Coturnix japonica: one gene and its partners. The main gene of each other region encodes a partner of the protein of the gene in region 3 in a complex. Links are inferred from orthologs where the notes say so. Each region holds a gene or a part of one and is shown on either strand. Other genes may lie near its edges. The genes, in order: KCTD16, guanine nucleotide-binding protein G(i) subunit alpha-1 and GABBR2.

Region 1 (4,145 bases), on a different chromosome or scaffold from region 3:
AACTAACATTAATAACTAAAGTATTTGAAAAAGCTGATGGAATACTCCTTACTTTCAACCAAGGCAGCACTAATGAGTTTAAATCCTAAAGGAAGCCCATCATTTCATCTACCTGGTCATGCAGATGTTAAAGCCTGTATACTTTGACTCTACTAGACTTAAATACATGGTGAAGGCATCTAAGTTAACATGTCCTCACACCAACCCTTTTAAATCCTCATTGTAAGCTTTACAGTTCCCTTGACAAGTTCTTCAGCTGGTGTGTGGGAACAGCAAGTGAAGATGTACAAAACTGTCTTTTTCTGAGATATAATGTACATCCCTGCAGCAGTCCCATACTCTGCTGGTTTGAAAATTAGAAGTCGGGTCCAGCAGTAAGAGAGAACCTTGGTTCAAGAGCCTCACAGCTGCTTCTGAATTAATGAATTGATTAAGGTCAAAAGCGAGGGTTTGATATACTACTTGACTCTCAGGCTTGAAATTGAGAAGCTTGTAAGCACACAGATCAGTGCTTTCCTCCCTCGGGCTATAGAACTGTACTCTTTAAGTTAATGTCCTCCTCAGTCCCTCCCTTCCTTCGTTCCTCCTGAAGTATCTGCAACTTCAGTGCAGCCAGCAGAGACCAACAGCTCAGTAACTTCCCTGCACAAAGATTTGACTCTAAAACTTCCTCTCTGGGTTTTCTTCGATGTGTGAATGAAGGGCTTTTTATCATACATTCATCATTCCGAGTATCCCCATTTTAATGAGAACTGATGTCTGCCAAAATACACAACGCTGAACTTTTCTGATACTTTTTCTGATACTTTTTCTGACACTTTTCAGACGATCATGTGCAATTATGTGTGAAATCGACTACACGCTGCGGTGCCCATTTTGTGCACTAGCTGAGCAACCCGGTCACTTCATTTCATTTTATGTTGCATGCCGTATTTGTTTAACCCGAGACAAAGCAGTTCACGCTGAGCAGAGCCCACGGTGCCCAGCTGGTGGCCGCAGCCCACGCCCCGCAGCGGCAGCTCGGTGCTCCCAAAGCCCATTTTTTTCCGGCGTTTTTCATCTCGCCTTTCCCGCAGCGTTTGCCCTGGTAACAGCGCTTGGGAAGAACCGGGAGCAGGGCCAGGACTGGACGCGAGGTGGCGGTGCCAGCACGGCCACGGCCGAGAGGAGAACGGGGCGCGGCGGGAGCCCCTGCCCCCGTCCTGCCCCCGTCCCCATCACGGTCCGGCAAACGAAGTGAGTGCGGCAGCGCTCCTGCCGAGGCGCCCCACCTCCTCCTTTCCGTCCCTGCGGTAAATGCACAGCGCCTCGTTACTGGCTTCTGCCCTTTCTGGGTCACTGCTGGGGAGATGAGGAGCGCGAGCGGCACGATAAAACCGCACTCCTGCCGGAGAGCCACGGGCGAGCGTGCCGGGAGCGCCCACCCACCGGCTGCTCCCACCCTGCCCGCCTGCGTCGCTGGGTGAAATCACCGCCTCGCCTGCGCGGAGCCGCGGACAGGCACGTGTCGGCGGGCGGGCAGGGGCCGGGAGCTGCCGCCCGGAGCTGCCGAGAGGAGCGGAGCGGGAGGAACTTTACCCGAACTCGGGCGCTGAGGGCTGCGGCGGCGGCGCCCCGGGGCGGCCAACCCGCTCGGCGGAGCGCGGCCCGGCGCTGTCCGCGGTGCTGGCGCTGCCCCGGCTGCTGGCGCCGTCTCCGGTTCCGGCCCGGTCCCGGCCCGACTCCTTTCGGATGATGCAATCGGCGTCGCCCTCTGCGCTCCCGTCCCCGCGCCTCTGAGCGGAGCGGATCCGAGCAGGGCGGCGCGGCAGAGCGCGGGAGCGGAGCGGCACAGCGGGCGGCCCCGGCGGGGACATGGGAGCGCCGCGTTCCGCGCTGCCCGGGCGGCTGCCGCCGCGGGAGTCGCTGGAGCCTTTCAGCCCTTAGCGCGGGCTGCGGGGTTTCTGCAAGTCATCTGAGGCAGCGTCCCCCGCAGCGCGTTCCCCCGCTCTCCCTTGGCCCCACTCTCAAGGAACCCGATCGGATTTATTTGGGATTTTTGTGCTTTTCCCCTCCCCCCTTTGTGCTGTGTGTCTTGTTTTCTGGTCACCTGCCGTGGTTAACTTTTTTCATGACTCGGTTTAACTCTCGAGATCTACACGAATGTTGTTAAGAGCACTTTTCTTGCCTTTGCTGTCCCTTGCTGGGATCGGATCTGATACTATCTGGACTCTATGTGCCTGTATGTGTGTTCTGAGTGTCTTGAAATTTTGCTTTCCTTTCCAAGAGCTATGCATTATTTGTAACCAAGGTAAGAGTTGATGTTCTCATTGCCTCTTCTGCATGTTTAAATTAGATGTTTGTTTGAAGATAAATTACGTTGTATTCTATAAACTGCAGGGTCACACTGAGTCCTTTCATTGATTAGTGTTTCTGAAAAAGAAGGGGAGAACTTGGGAAAATTAGATATATTTAGCAGGAAGGCTAACAGCTTTCTAGAATGAGTTGTTTTTCTCTATTGCAATTGCTGGCATGCTTAAGAGGTTAATTTGAATCTTATTTTGTTTTCCCTTTTAGAAGACCAGTGAATTACCATAGGCTGGGCTTGACCTTGATTTTGATGGCTTTGTTGGAAGATCTAATGATGTGATTGTGTTTCACGAAGGGATTTTTCTCCAGCCCCAGTGGCTTAGGATATAAGACACTTCTATCACATTGCTACTTATGGACAATTCAGATATTTTTTTAGACATACCTTTTGGATTTTTTTTCTTTCCTTGCTTCCCCTTTCCCCCGTTTCACCTTAATACTGGAGCCTTATTCTAGACTTTGATGTGACTGACTATCCTTCGTGCTACTGTTTTCTTTTTTAAAGTACAATGGCTCTAAGTGGCAACTGCAGGACTTACCTCCCTGCCCGAGAGCAGGGGTCTGGGCTGCAATCCTTCCCAGAGGTTGTGGAGCTAAACGTGGGTGGCCAGGTTTACTTCACTCGCCACTCCACCTTGGTTGGCACCCCTCACTCCTTGCTGTGGAAAATGTTCACCCCAAAAAGAGACACAGCCAACGATCTGGCCAAGGACTCCAAGGGAAGATTCTTCATTGACAGAGATGGTTTCCTTTTTCGCTATATTCTGGACTATCTCAGGGACAAGCAAGTTGTTCTGCCTGACCACTTCCCTGAAAAGGGAAGGCTCAAGAGGGAGGCTGAGTATTTCCAGCTCCCGGACTTGGTCAAAATCCTGACTCCTGATGACAGCAAGCAAAGCCCCGATGATTATTGCCACAGTGACTACGAAGAGGTCTCCCAGGGCAGCGACACGAGAATATGCCCCCCTCCATCTCTCTTACCATCAGATCGAAAGTGGGGATTCATTACCATTGGGTACCGGGGTTCATGCACTATTGGCAGGGAGAGCCAAGCAGATGCCAAATTCAGGAGGGTCCCAAGGATTTTGGTTTGTGGAAGGATCGCTTTGGTCAAAGAGGTCTTTGGAGAAAGTTTGAATGAAAGCAGAGATCCAGACAGAGCTCCAGAAAGGTACACCTCCAGGTTTTATCTCAAGTTCAAGCATCTGGAGAGGGCTTTTGACATGTTATCTGAGTGTGGATTCCACATGGTGGCCTGCAACTCCTCTGTGACGGCATCCTTTGTCAATCAGTACACTGATGACAAGGTCTGGTCCAGCTACACTGAATATGTCTTCTACCGTAAGTACAAGACATTTCTGAGGGAAACACAGCTGCCTGTTTGAAGCCTGTCTCTTCTGACTGTGCACAGTTAGCAAAGCATGAGAAGTGCAGATTTCTTTGTATCTGCTGCAGATCGGAGCTTTATTTTGATGAGGTGATAGGCTTCAGTTTAAGCTTCCGAACTGTAAGGCCAGACTGAACTCAGTGGCTTGGTCTTGGCTAGGTGGCAGCACAGACTGCCAAAAGCACCCTATCCCTGTGCCTGAAGGATGCTGTATCTCTGCCTGTGCAAATCTGATGGCCTGCACACTTCCTGAGTGCAAGTAGGATGCAATGTAAGCCATGCAAACACACTGCAGATTTAATTACAGAAAACCTTCACATTGAATTCAATTTACAAAGGTAATATCTGCTTGATAATAGTCAACCATCTGTCAACAAGCCTGACACACTTACATGCAGGGAAGGGAAAA
Region 2 (4,286 bases), on a different chromosome or scaffold from region 3:
ACTCCTAAATCAGGAAACTATCCCAAAACTGTTTAGTAGCCTCACCACCTTCTGAGTAAGTAATTTCTTCCTAACATCTAGCCTAAATGTCTGTCTTTTAATTTAAAGCCATTCCCTCTTGTTCTATTACAATCAAACTGAGTAAAAAAAGATAATAATTTTGCCCCTGCTGATAAGCTCCCATCCAGTACTGGAATACAGCAGTTAGGTCTCCCCAAAGCCTTGACTTTTCTAGTCTGAACAAGCCCTGCTCCCTCAACTGTTCTTCACAGAAGATCTTGTGGCCCTACTTTTCAAGCCAGTCTTGGTTTCTCTGTATGGCATCTTTTCTGCCATAAAACATCACCTGTGCTGTCAAATGCTCTACTTTTAGAGCCCATTCCGTGAGAAAAATAAGTAACCTTAAAGGCTCACTACAGAAGACAAACCTGAATGTAACATGCTTGTCTTGTGCTTGCATGTGACGTTCTGACTGAAACTTATCCTTCAACTCAGAAAGTTTTGTCTCATACAGGTTCTGTGGTACTGTACTGGGTTTACATGGTGACAAGAAGGAGTCGCAGGGGTCACCCCTGAGCACAAAGCCGAGCACCCTCCCGACATCACATCATATCACACCAGCTGCTCCCAAGGCCTCTGCCGCGGTACGAAGGAGGGGAGGTCGGATGATGGCTGTCAGCAGTGAGGCAGCAGGAGGCGACAAATAGCAGGTGGAGATATTAGCAGCCATAGGCTACCAGATGATCAGGGGGCTGGAGCACCTCCCCTATGAGGACAGGCTGAGGGAGTTGGGTTTGTTCAGCCTGGAGAAGAGAAGGTTGCGGGGTGACCTCATTGCAGCCTTTCAATACCTGACGGGAACTTACTCCCAGGAGGGGAGTAAACGCTTTGAAAGGGCTGACAATAGCAGGACACGGGGAAATGGTTTTAAGTTAAAAGAGGGAAGATTTAGGTTGGATGTTAGGGGGAAGTTCTTCACTAGGAGAGTGGTTAAGCCCTGGAACAGGCTGCCCATGGAGGTTGTGGATGCCCCGTCATTGGAGGTGTTCAAGACCAGGTTGGACGGGGCCCTGGGCAACCTGATCTAGTAAAGGTGTATGTTTGGTGGCCCTGCCAGGCAGGGGGGTTGGAACTACATGATCCTTGAGGTCCCTTCCAACCGGGGTCATTCTGTGATTCTGTGAGACTATGCCTAAGAAAGTCGGTCACCCTACCACAGGCGGCTCTCAGTCTCCGGAACAAACCCTATAGGCATTAGCACAGCCTTCACTGGGCGTTCCCTCCTCAACGCAATGGAACCTCCCGCTAAGAGCTATTTAAATTCAAGCCCTCAGCACCATCCCCGCCCTTACCCCCCGCCCGCCGCCAGGTGTGCGGAGCTGGGCGCTGACGTCACACACACGCACGGCAGCCTGAGGTTCGCTCCGGCCGCTCGATGCTGCGCGCAGGCGCACTGCCGCCCGCCCCGCCCTCCCTCGCGTGCACGCGCACGCCCCCTTTCTCTCCCTCCCGCGGCGTTGTGGGCTGTGCGCGCCGCCGCGAGCAGCGGAGAGACGGGGGTGGTGTACAGCAGAGTCGAGGAAGGGGCAGCGCATCCCCGGGGACGGATCGAGGGAAACATCCCCCTGTTTCGTTGTGGTGTTTTTTTGTACAAATTTGTGGGTTTTTTGTTTTGGTTTGTTTTTTTTTTCTTCTTTTTGCTCCGCTCTTCCCTTTACTTGCGCTTCAGGTGGGGAAGGAGGGAGAAAGAAAGCGGGCGGGCTCTGCTCCCCCCCCTCCTTTTTTACGCCTCTCCGGAGCTCTCCGCTCCCCGCTTCTCCCCGCGGCGAGGTACGCAGCCCCTGCCGAGATGGGCTGCACGCTGAGCGCCGAGGACAAGGCGGCGGTGGAGAGGAGCAAGATGATCGACAGGAACCTGCGAGAGGACGGCGAGAAAGCGGCCAGGGAGGTGAAGCTGCTCCTGCTGGGTAAGGGTGGGCCCCCCCCGGTCTGGCCGAGATGCGGAGCTGTGAGGGCCGAACCGGGGGCGGGGGACCGCGGAGGTCCCCCAGCATCGCTCCCCCGGGACCGGCGGGTGGTGGGGTGGGAAGGCCGCTCGTAGATCCTCGGAATCCGCTCGTGGATCCTTGGGGGAGGAGGGAGGGGGAGCGCAGGTGGGCGCGGCGGGGCTGCGGGCCGGGCCGGGGAGCGGTTCCGAGCTGTTGGGGCTTTGTTTAGATAAGGCCCCGGCTCCCCAAGGGGAGGGAGAGAGATCTTGTACTTTTGATGTGGGTTCTGGGTACTTCGGTTCCGAGGAAGGGCTTAAGGGGATTTCAGGTTGGGGGATGTTTGTTTCGTGTGGAACATCCCCTTCTGAACTGTTGCTGTAAGAGTGAAGTGGGAAAAACATCAAAGCAACGCGAGGCGCCGTCTGACTTCTCGCTTCGTTTTCTTTTGGAAGTTGTTTCTGCTGCCGAACTTTTACAACATAAGGTCAAACCTTGGTGGGGTTATAAAGTGTGTAATACTGGGGATCACTGGAATAGGGTGATGAGGAGCTGCACGGAGAAGCAATGGATTCCCAACCTCAGGATGTGCTCGGGGTGGGATTGGATGGGGCCCTGGGTCCTGATCTGATGAGCATCAGTCCTGCACAAGGCAGGGCATTGGCACTGGATGGCCTTCAAAGTCCCTTCTAACCCAAGCCATTCTGTGGTTCCGTGCTACCAAGTCTTCTTGATTTTACTCCCAAGTTCTTAAAACTGGCAGCTTTGTTCATTTTAAGTGATGTTTGTCTATAAAGATAAATGAAGTAAAATTACTGCTAAAAATTACTATGAAAGAGGAAGAAATCTCTAATTAGTAATGTCTTTGTGCAGCTCTAACTCTACTGTACGTGCTGTGGACAGCTGAATCCTGCAAGGCATATGATGTATTGATGTTACGGGGAGTTTTGTGTTATGCTTTATAGCTGAACTGCTCTGGATCCTTTTAACCCATAATTAAAAAATAATTAAAAATAAATAAATAAACATGGAGTTTCAGTTTTCCTTGTGCTGCTCATCCAGAAGCTACAGTTCCAAGGAAGGTTTCTGTTTATAAAGTAGTACCCAATTTTTTCTTCTCCATATATTTGTTTTCATGGAGTGCTTCCTTAAGCATTCTATTTAGTGCAAATCTTGCTGTAGTAGAACTCTTAATTAATTAACTTCTATCTGTTCCTTGTAAAGCTTGTAGCTTGTAAAATAGCTCCAGACAGGTCCAGGGAACTGAAGCACTTCCTTCTGTGTGTCTGTGAAGAAACGAAACAAGCCTAGTATAGGTAAAGCAAACTTCTGAAAACGTGTGTATAGGCTTAAAGTTCTGCATATGAGGGGAAAAAAAGCTTTTCGGTTTGCTTTCTAGAAAGTGTTAGGCTGTTGGTGTGCTTAGTCCTGTACAAATTCATAAGCCTGGAGTCTGTTGTGTGGAAAGGTTATCCTCTGATCAATAGTAATGCACTGCAGAAAATGTCCTTTTTCAAGAGTCACAGAGTACTGCTCTGTGTGTACTCTGACAAGTCATTAGAAATGGTTTTTCAGAGTTCTGCTGTTCTCTACTGAGCTTTAAATACTACATAGGTAGTAGTTATGCTTTTCCGTGAGTATGGATAAAGTCTTCTATAAAAGTTGCGTTAAACTTGAGAATGAGCTGTTTACAGTAGCTTAATATTCTTGGATACAAATTCATATGATAGTAGCTTTTTATATAAATTCTATCTGATATAGATCAGCTTTTGGGGGAATTGTTTTCTGCTGCAGTCTCCTGAAATCTTAGGATATGAAACTAATCACAGAATCACAGAATGACCCAGGTTGGAAGGGACCTCAAGGATCATGTAGTTCCAACCCCCCTGCCTGGCAGGGCCACCAAACATACACCTTTACTAGATCAGGTTGCCCAGGGCCCCGTCCAACCTGGTCTTGAACAGCTCCAAGGACGGGGCATCCACAACCTCCCTGGGCAGCCTGTTCCAGGGCCTAACCGCTCTCCTAGTGAAGAACTTCCCCCTAACATCCAACCTAATCCAAACTAATGCTCAAATACATGTGTTTTCTCACAACTCAACTCAGTGTAGCGTTTTCCATTCAACTGTTAAAAAGTGAAAATGAACAGATCAGGAACTTTCAGGGCCAGAGCTGAGAGTAAGGCTTTGTGTATACATCTATGGATACATTTATACATTTCAGATCCTAATGGAAGCTTTTCTGTTCAATTTCCTGTGTTAGCTGTCCTAAATGTTGTGTGAATGCTTTATCTGATGGCAA
Region 3 (4,388 bases):
AAGAATGTCCAAGTAAATAAAGCCGTGCCCACAGGCCAGTAAAGCAGGGTTCACTGAACTGCATCAAGGTCGTGCTCCAGACACATTCAACCATCAACAGTACTCAAGTCAGAAGCCTCCATGTTGGCATATACTTGCTGTAACCTGTGGTCTTATTTTGCACTGAAGATATCATTCACAGAATCATAGCTGCTTGAGATAACGGATTAAGGACTGTAGTGAACTCTGAGCTTCCTTCAGCTTAACTGTGTTGATAAGCGCAAGGAATGCCACTCCAGTGCTCCAGGGTTAGAGACAGAGAGCAGCCTAAGTTGGGAAGCCCACTGCAGTTCTGATGGTGGTCAGAAATACGGGCATCCCTGTGCTCCACTGTACAGAAACATCAAGCAAACAATATGCAGTTCAACTTTACCAGGAAGCTGCCTCGGTAATGAAAAGAGATCCGATTTGTTTGTCTTCATAATACTTTCATGATTATTTTTTGTGAGCTTTTTATTGAAGTGTTACGTAAAGCTGCAACACAAACATCGGTTCATAGCAGAGGGTGATTATGGAACTCCATGAGGGAGTTTCTGAATCACTGCCATGCATTGCCTAAATCACTGCCATGCATTTCCTAAATCACTGACGTGCATTTCACCAGGCTCTATATCTACACAACAAACACCTCTCCCTCTGTTCAAAAACCCCTGGTGCTCAGGGTCCCACATTCTCTCTCCAAGAGGAGCCAATGTCAAAGCACCCGCGAGGTCCTGAAGGGAAGCAGGTCTGTGGTTACGTAAGGACAAGGATCCAGGCCCTCTGGGTGCATCCATCTATCAGCAGTCTGGGAACAGGCTGAGCACCGAGCGGGCAGCAGGAGGGAGCAGCCCTTCTGCTTACCGTAAGACATAAGGTAATGGCTGAGCACAACGAAAAAGTTTGTGCTGCCATTACGTATTTATAGGCTGTTCCAACCATTAGGCTGTTCCATTACGGTGCAGTCAATCTAACACTCCTCACAAACACTCGTTTATTTACTTGTCACTATTAAGCGTGCAATAATGACCCGACCGCTCTCCAAATACATACATTTGCCTGATTTAGCATTCCATAACCATCCATTTATTAATTGCTTAAAAGCCTCCGGATGCACACAGCACACGGGCAGCAGGATCCTGATGCTTCAAACCCCCCCTGAAGTACCGAACAGTAAAAATGCAATTTTTAAGGAACCGGTGCACATTCCACAGCCAATCAGACAATTCTTCTGGTTGCTCTGTTCATCTTAACGCTGACTACCCTGCTCAGAACCCAAAATCTCTATGAACAACTGCAAAATATTTTGATTGCAATCAGGTGCAGCCCCTCATTGATTGGGATGTGTGCATAGAAGGAAGGTTCCTGCTTCTCCACTTCCTGTGTACTCATTATTTCGCAACGATCCCATCCGAGGGGTGGATTTAAACAGAATAATGTAATGAACACAGGACTGGGAGAACCGTGATCTTGTTTCTCCCCAATACCACGTTTTATGAAACAGGTAATGCCATTCCGAAAATCCCCCATAATTCTTTTCATTCTGATTGCAGAGGTTCGTTTTTTAAGGAGACGAACGGCAGCTCGGGGCCGCTCCTGGCGCAGCATTCCGGCCTTGTGCACCCAACAGCACCCAAACGACACACTCAGCGCTACCACCCCAAGCCGTCCGAAACAACGCCACGACAAATGCGTGTCGGTGAAGGGCAGCTGCCCCACAGAGAGAGATTTCTGGGGCGACCCTATGGACGGAGAGCCAGCACAGCCCGGTATCGCCGCTCTGCAACCGGAGAGGGGCTCCCGCAGCACAACGGGGGCTCTCAGCATCCATCCCCGCGCCGCACCGGGGGCTGTCGTGGAAAGGAACGCGGCTCGATTCACGCGGGGCGGCTGCCACCTTGAGGGCAGGCTCCGCATCGAGCCGGCATCTCCCTCCGTTCGGCGAAGTTGCGACCCAAACGGAGCGCGTTGGAGAGCCGGGTACCAAGTTCCCCACGCCTCCGCCTCCCGCCCGCATTCCTTCCGCACCCCGAACCGCACCGGGCCGCACCGGGACAGGGCGGCCCTCAAGCATCCCGCGGGCAGAGGCACCGCAGATTTAACTCTTTCCGCAGGTCTCCACCGCCTCGCTGCGAGCCGCCCTCCGGAGCCCGCGTCCTGCACGAGGAAGGGGAGGCATCCGGATGGAGACGGAGCGGCCGGCGCGCATCTGTTGCTAGAAGCTGAGAGCGGCCGGTTCTGGTCGGGGCCCCGCGGGCAGAACATCTCCGGAACGGCTCCGCGTCCTCAGCCGCTTCTCCCCGCGCATCTACCGGCGGCGCCGCAGCCCCCGCGTCCGCGCTGCCCTTGCGCCCCGGTCCCGCAGCGCCCCGGGACTGGGCGGCGGCGCGTCCCCGGCGGCCCCTACCTCCGTGTCGTAGAGGCGCAGGTCCAGGAAATAGGGGTTGAGCAGGGACTCGTTGCGGATCTGATCCATGGCCAGCTGCACGGCGGGCAGCACCCCCCGACCGATCCTGCTCTTCTGGTCCTCCTCGGACTGGCTGAGCGGCATCAAACCCATGATGGAGATCGGCGTGGTGGCGTTGGGGGGCATCCCGGCCGCCCCCCGGGTGCTGCCCCGCGACCAGCCCCAGCCCGGCGGCACCCAGCCTAGGCACAGGAGCAGCAGCAGCATGGCAGGGCTGGAGGTGGCGGCGGCCGGGCTCCGCACAGAGGGATGCATGCTGCTGGATGGGGGGAGGAGGAGGAGGAGGAGGAGGAGAGCTGGGGAGGGGGGGCGGACGGAGCGGCGGGAGGGAGCCGAGCCCCGCTCAGCCCGGGCACATCCCCCGGCGGCGGGAGGGAAAGCAACGCCTCCCGCTTCCAAGGGAGCCTCGGGGTCTCCTCTCTCTCCCCCCTCCGCCCCCCCTCCCTTTTCTCTCCTCTCCCCTGGCAATAATCCTTCTGGCAATGGCGCCTACTCCTTCCCAGGTCTGCCAGCTGCAGCCACCAGAAGCGATAAATAAATAAATAACCCCCCCACCCCCCCCCTCCCCTCCGCTTTCCCTGCACCCTCCTCCTCTTCCTCCTCTTCTCCTCCCCTCCTCTCCCGGCGGCGGAGCAGGGAGCGGGACCTGCCTCTGCCTCCCCGCTGCGCTCCGCTCGGGGAGGAACGGCACCTCTCGGGCGGGGACGGGGGGGCGGGAGGGAGAGAAGGGGGGAGCGAGAAGAAGCCCTCACTGAACACCTCCTTCTTCCTCCAAAAGGAAAACACACATATATATATAGGATGCTCCGGTAGAATGAAAAAAAAAAAGAAAGAAGGAGGGGGGTTGGTGTGTGGGGGGGGAACGGTGCGGGCCGGGGGTGCAGAGCCCTAATGCCGCATTCTCATAGCCGGGGCAACCCCGCGAGAAGGGAGGTGCCGCCCTTCGGCTCCGATGCGGGAAGGGCCGGGGGACGGTGCAAGGCACGCGGCGAGCGCGTACCCCCCCGCCCCCGCTCCAGCTCAGCACGCAGACACGCGCCCACGCCGGCTCGGCACCTCCGCCACCGCACACGCACACGCACAAATGCACACACACACACACACACACACGGAGCCTGGGCCATGGCAACTCCGCAGCGCGCTCACAGGAGCGCGGCGTTCTGCAAAACCAGGTTATTTCTGGGTTATCCTTTGCTCTCCCCGCAGGATTCCCGCAGCCCGGCAGCGCATAGTGGCAGCGCCGTGCCCTGATCCCAGTACGGCCCCCCTGCACAGCGAGGAGCCCCGTAGAGCCGGGAGAGACCCGGTGTGCGTCCCGCTGGCAGCCCTGCCAAACCCGACCCGGGGCATCTCCCATTCTATAGATACAAAACCGGGATGAGGGGCGGATGAAGAAACTGGGATTGTTTAGTAGGAGAACAGCAGGCTCAGGGGACACCTCACTGCTCTCTACAACGGCCTGAAAGGAGGCCTCTTCTCGCAGGTAACAGCAATAGGATGAGAGGGAACAGCCTCAGATTGTACCAGGGGTCAATTCAGGTTGAATATTAGGGAAAAAATTTCTTCTCTCTTCTACACCCCAGGGAAGTGGTGGAGTTACTGTCCCTGGAGGTATACAGGAACCCTGTGGATGTAGCACTGAAGGACGTGGTCAGCGGGCATGGGTTGGTGGTTGGACTGGATGATCTTAGTGGTCTTTTTCAACCTTTATGATTCTATGAAGGCCAACCTAATATATCCCATATACAATGGTGGCGTCTATGCCATAAATCGGGAAGAATCTTTATAGTTTAATAAATTCTAAGATCATAATAAGGTGACCTTGGGCCAAAAGCCCTTAACCTGTCACCCCGTAACTCTTCTTTCTTTGCAGCCCTTCCTGTGGAATGACATCCAACAGAGC

Evidence for each region.
Region 1: the proteins of GABBR2 (region 3) and KCTD16 are in contact, whole or in part, in a crystal structure (PDB 6M8R), measured with the Homo sapiens proteins. The link is inferred for Coturnix japonica from reciprocal best matches to the Homo sapiens genes GABBR2 and KCTD16. Residues at the interface, in NP_005449.5 of Homo sapiens: Ile882, Asn883, Ile888, Gln889, Arg891, Leu892, Ser893, Leu894, Gln895, Leu896, Pro897, Ile898, Leu899; in NP_001357415.1 of Homo sapiens: Asn30, Gly32, Gly33, Gln34, Val35, Tyr36, Asp64, Leu65, Ala66, Lys67, Asp68, Ser69, Arg72, Phe74, Gly79, Phe80, Arg83.
Region 2: the proteins of GABBR2 (region 3) and guanine nucleotide-binding protein G(i) subunit alpha-1 are in contact, whole or in part, in a cryo-EM structure (PDB 7EB2), measured with the Homo sapiens proteins. The link is inferred for Coturnix japonica from reciprocal best matches to the Homo sapiens genes GABBR2 and GNAI1. Residues at the interface, in NP_005449.5 of Homo sapiens: Lys510, Lys513, Met514, Ser516, Arg577, Ile581, Lys586, Met587, Lys588, Lys590, Ile591, Lys593; in NP_002060.4 of Homo sapiens: Arg24, Glu28, Ala31, Arg32, Asp193, Thr219, Ile343, Asn347, Leu348, Asp350, Cys351, Gly352, Leu353, Phe354.

Annotation. Positions count from the first base shown.
Region 1 is NC_029528.1:689,035-693,179, reverse strand, and holds the start of KCTD16 (BTB/POZ domain-containing protein KCTD16), read left to right. Parts: upstream 1-1,204; 5' UTR 1,205-1,292; intron 1,293-1,311; exon of another isoform or gene 1,312-2,290; intron 2,291-2,556; 5' UTR 2,557-2,858; coding exon 2,859-3,690; intron 3,691-4,145. UniProt on the Homo sapiens protein: Auxiliary subunit of GABA-B receptors that determine the pharmacology and kinetics of the receptor response. Increases agonist potency and markedly alter the G-protein signaling of the receptors by accelerating onset and promoting desensitization.
Region 2 is NC_029516.1:10,240,701-10,244,986, reverse strand, and holds the start of guanine nucleotide-binding protein G(i) subunit alpha-1, read left to right. Parts: upstream 1-1,486; 5' UTR 1,487-1,849; coding exon 1,850-1,967; intron 1,968-4,286. UniProt on the Homo sapiens protein: Guanine nucleotide-binding proteins (G proteins) function as transducers downstream of G protein-coupled receptors (GPCRs) in numerous signaling cascades.
Region 3 is NC_029517.1:43,384,062-43,388,449, forward strand, and holds the start of GABBR2 (gamma-aminobutyric acid type B receptor subunit 2), read right to left. Parts: upstream 2,998-4,388; 5' UTR 2,741-2,997; coding exon 2,426-2,740; intron 1-2,425. UniProt on the Homo sapiens protein: Component of a heterodimeric G-protein coupled receptor for GABA, formed by GABBR1 and GABBR2. Within the heterodimeric GABA receptor, only GABBR1 seems to bind agonists, while GABBR2 mediates coupling to G proteins.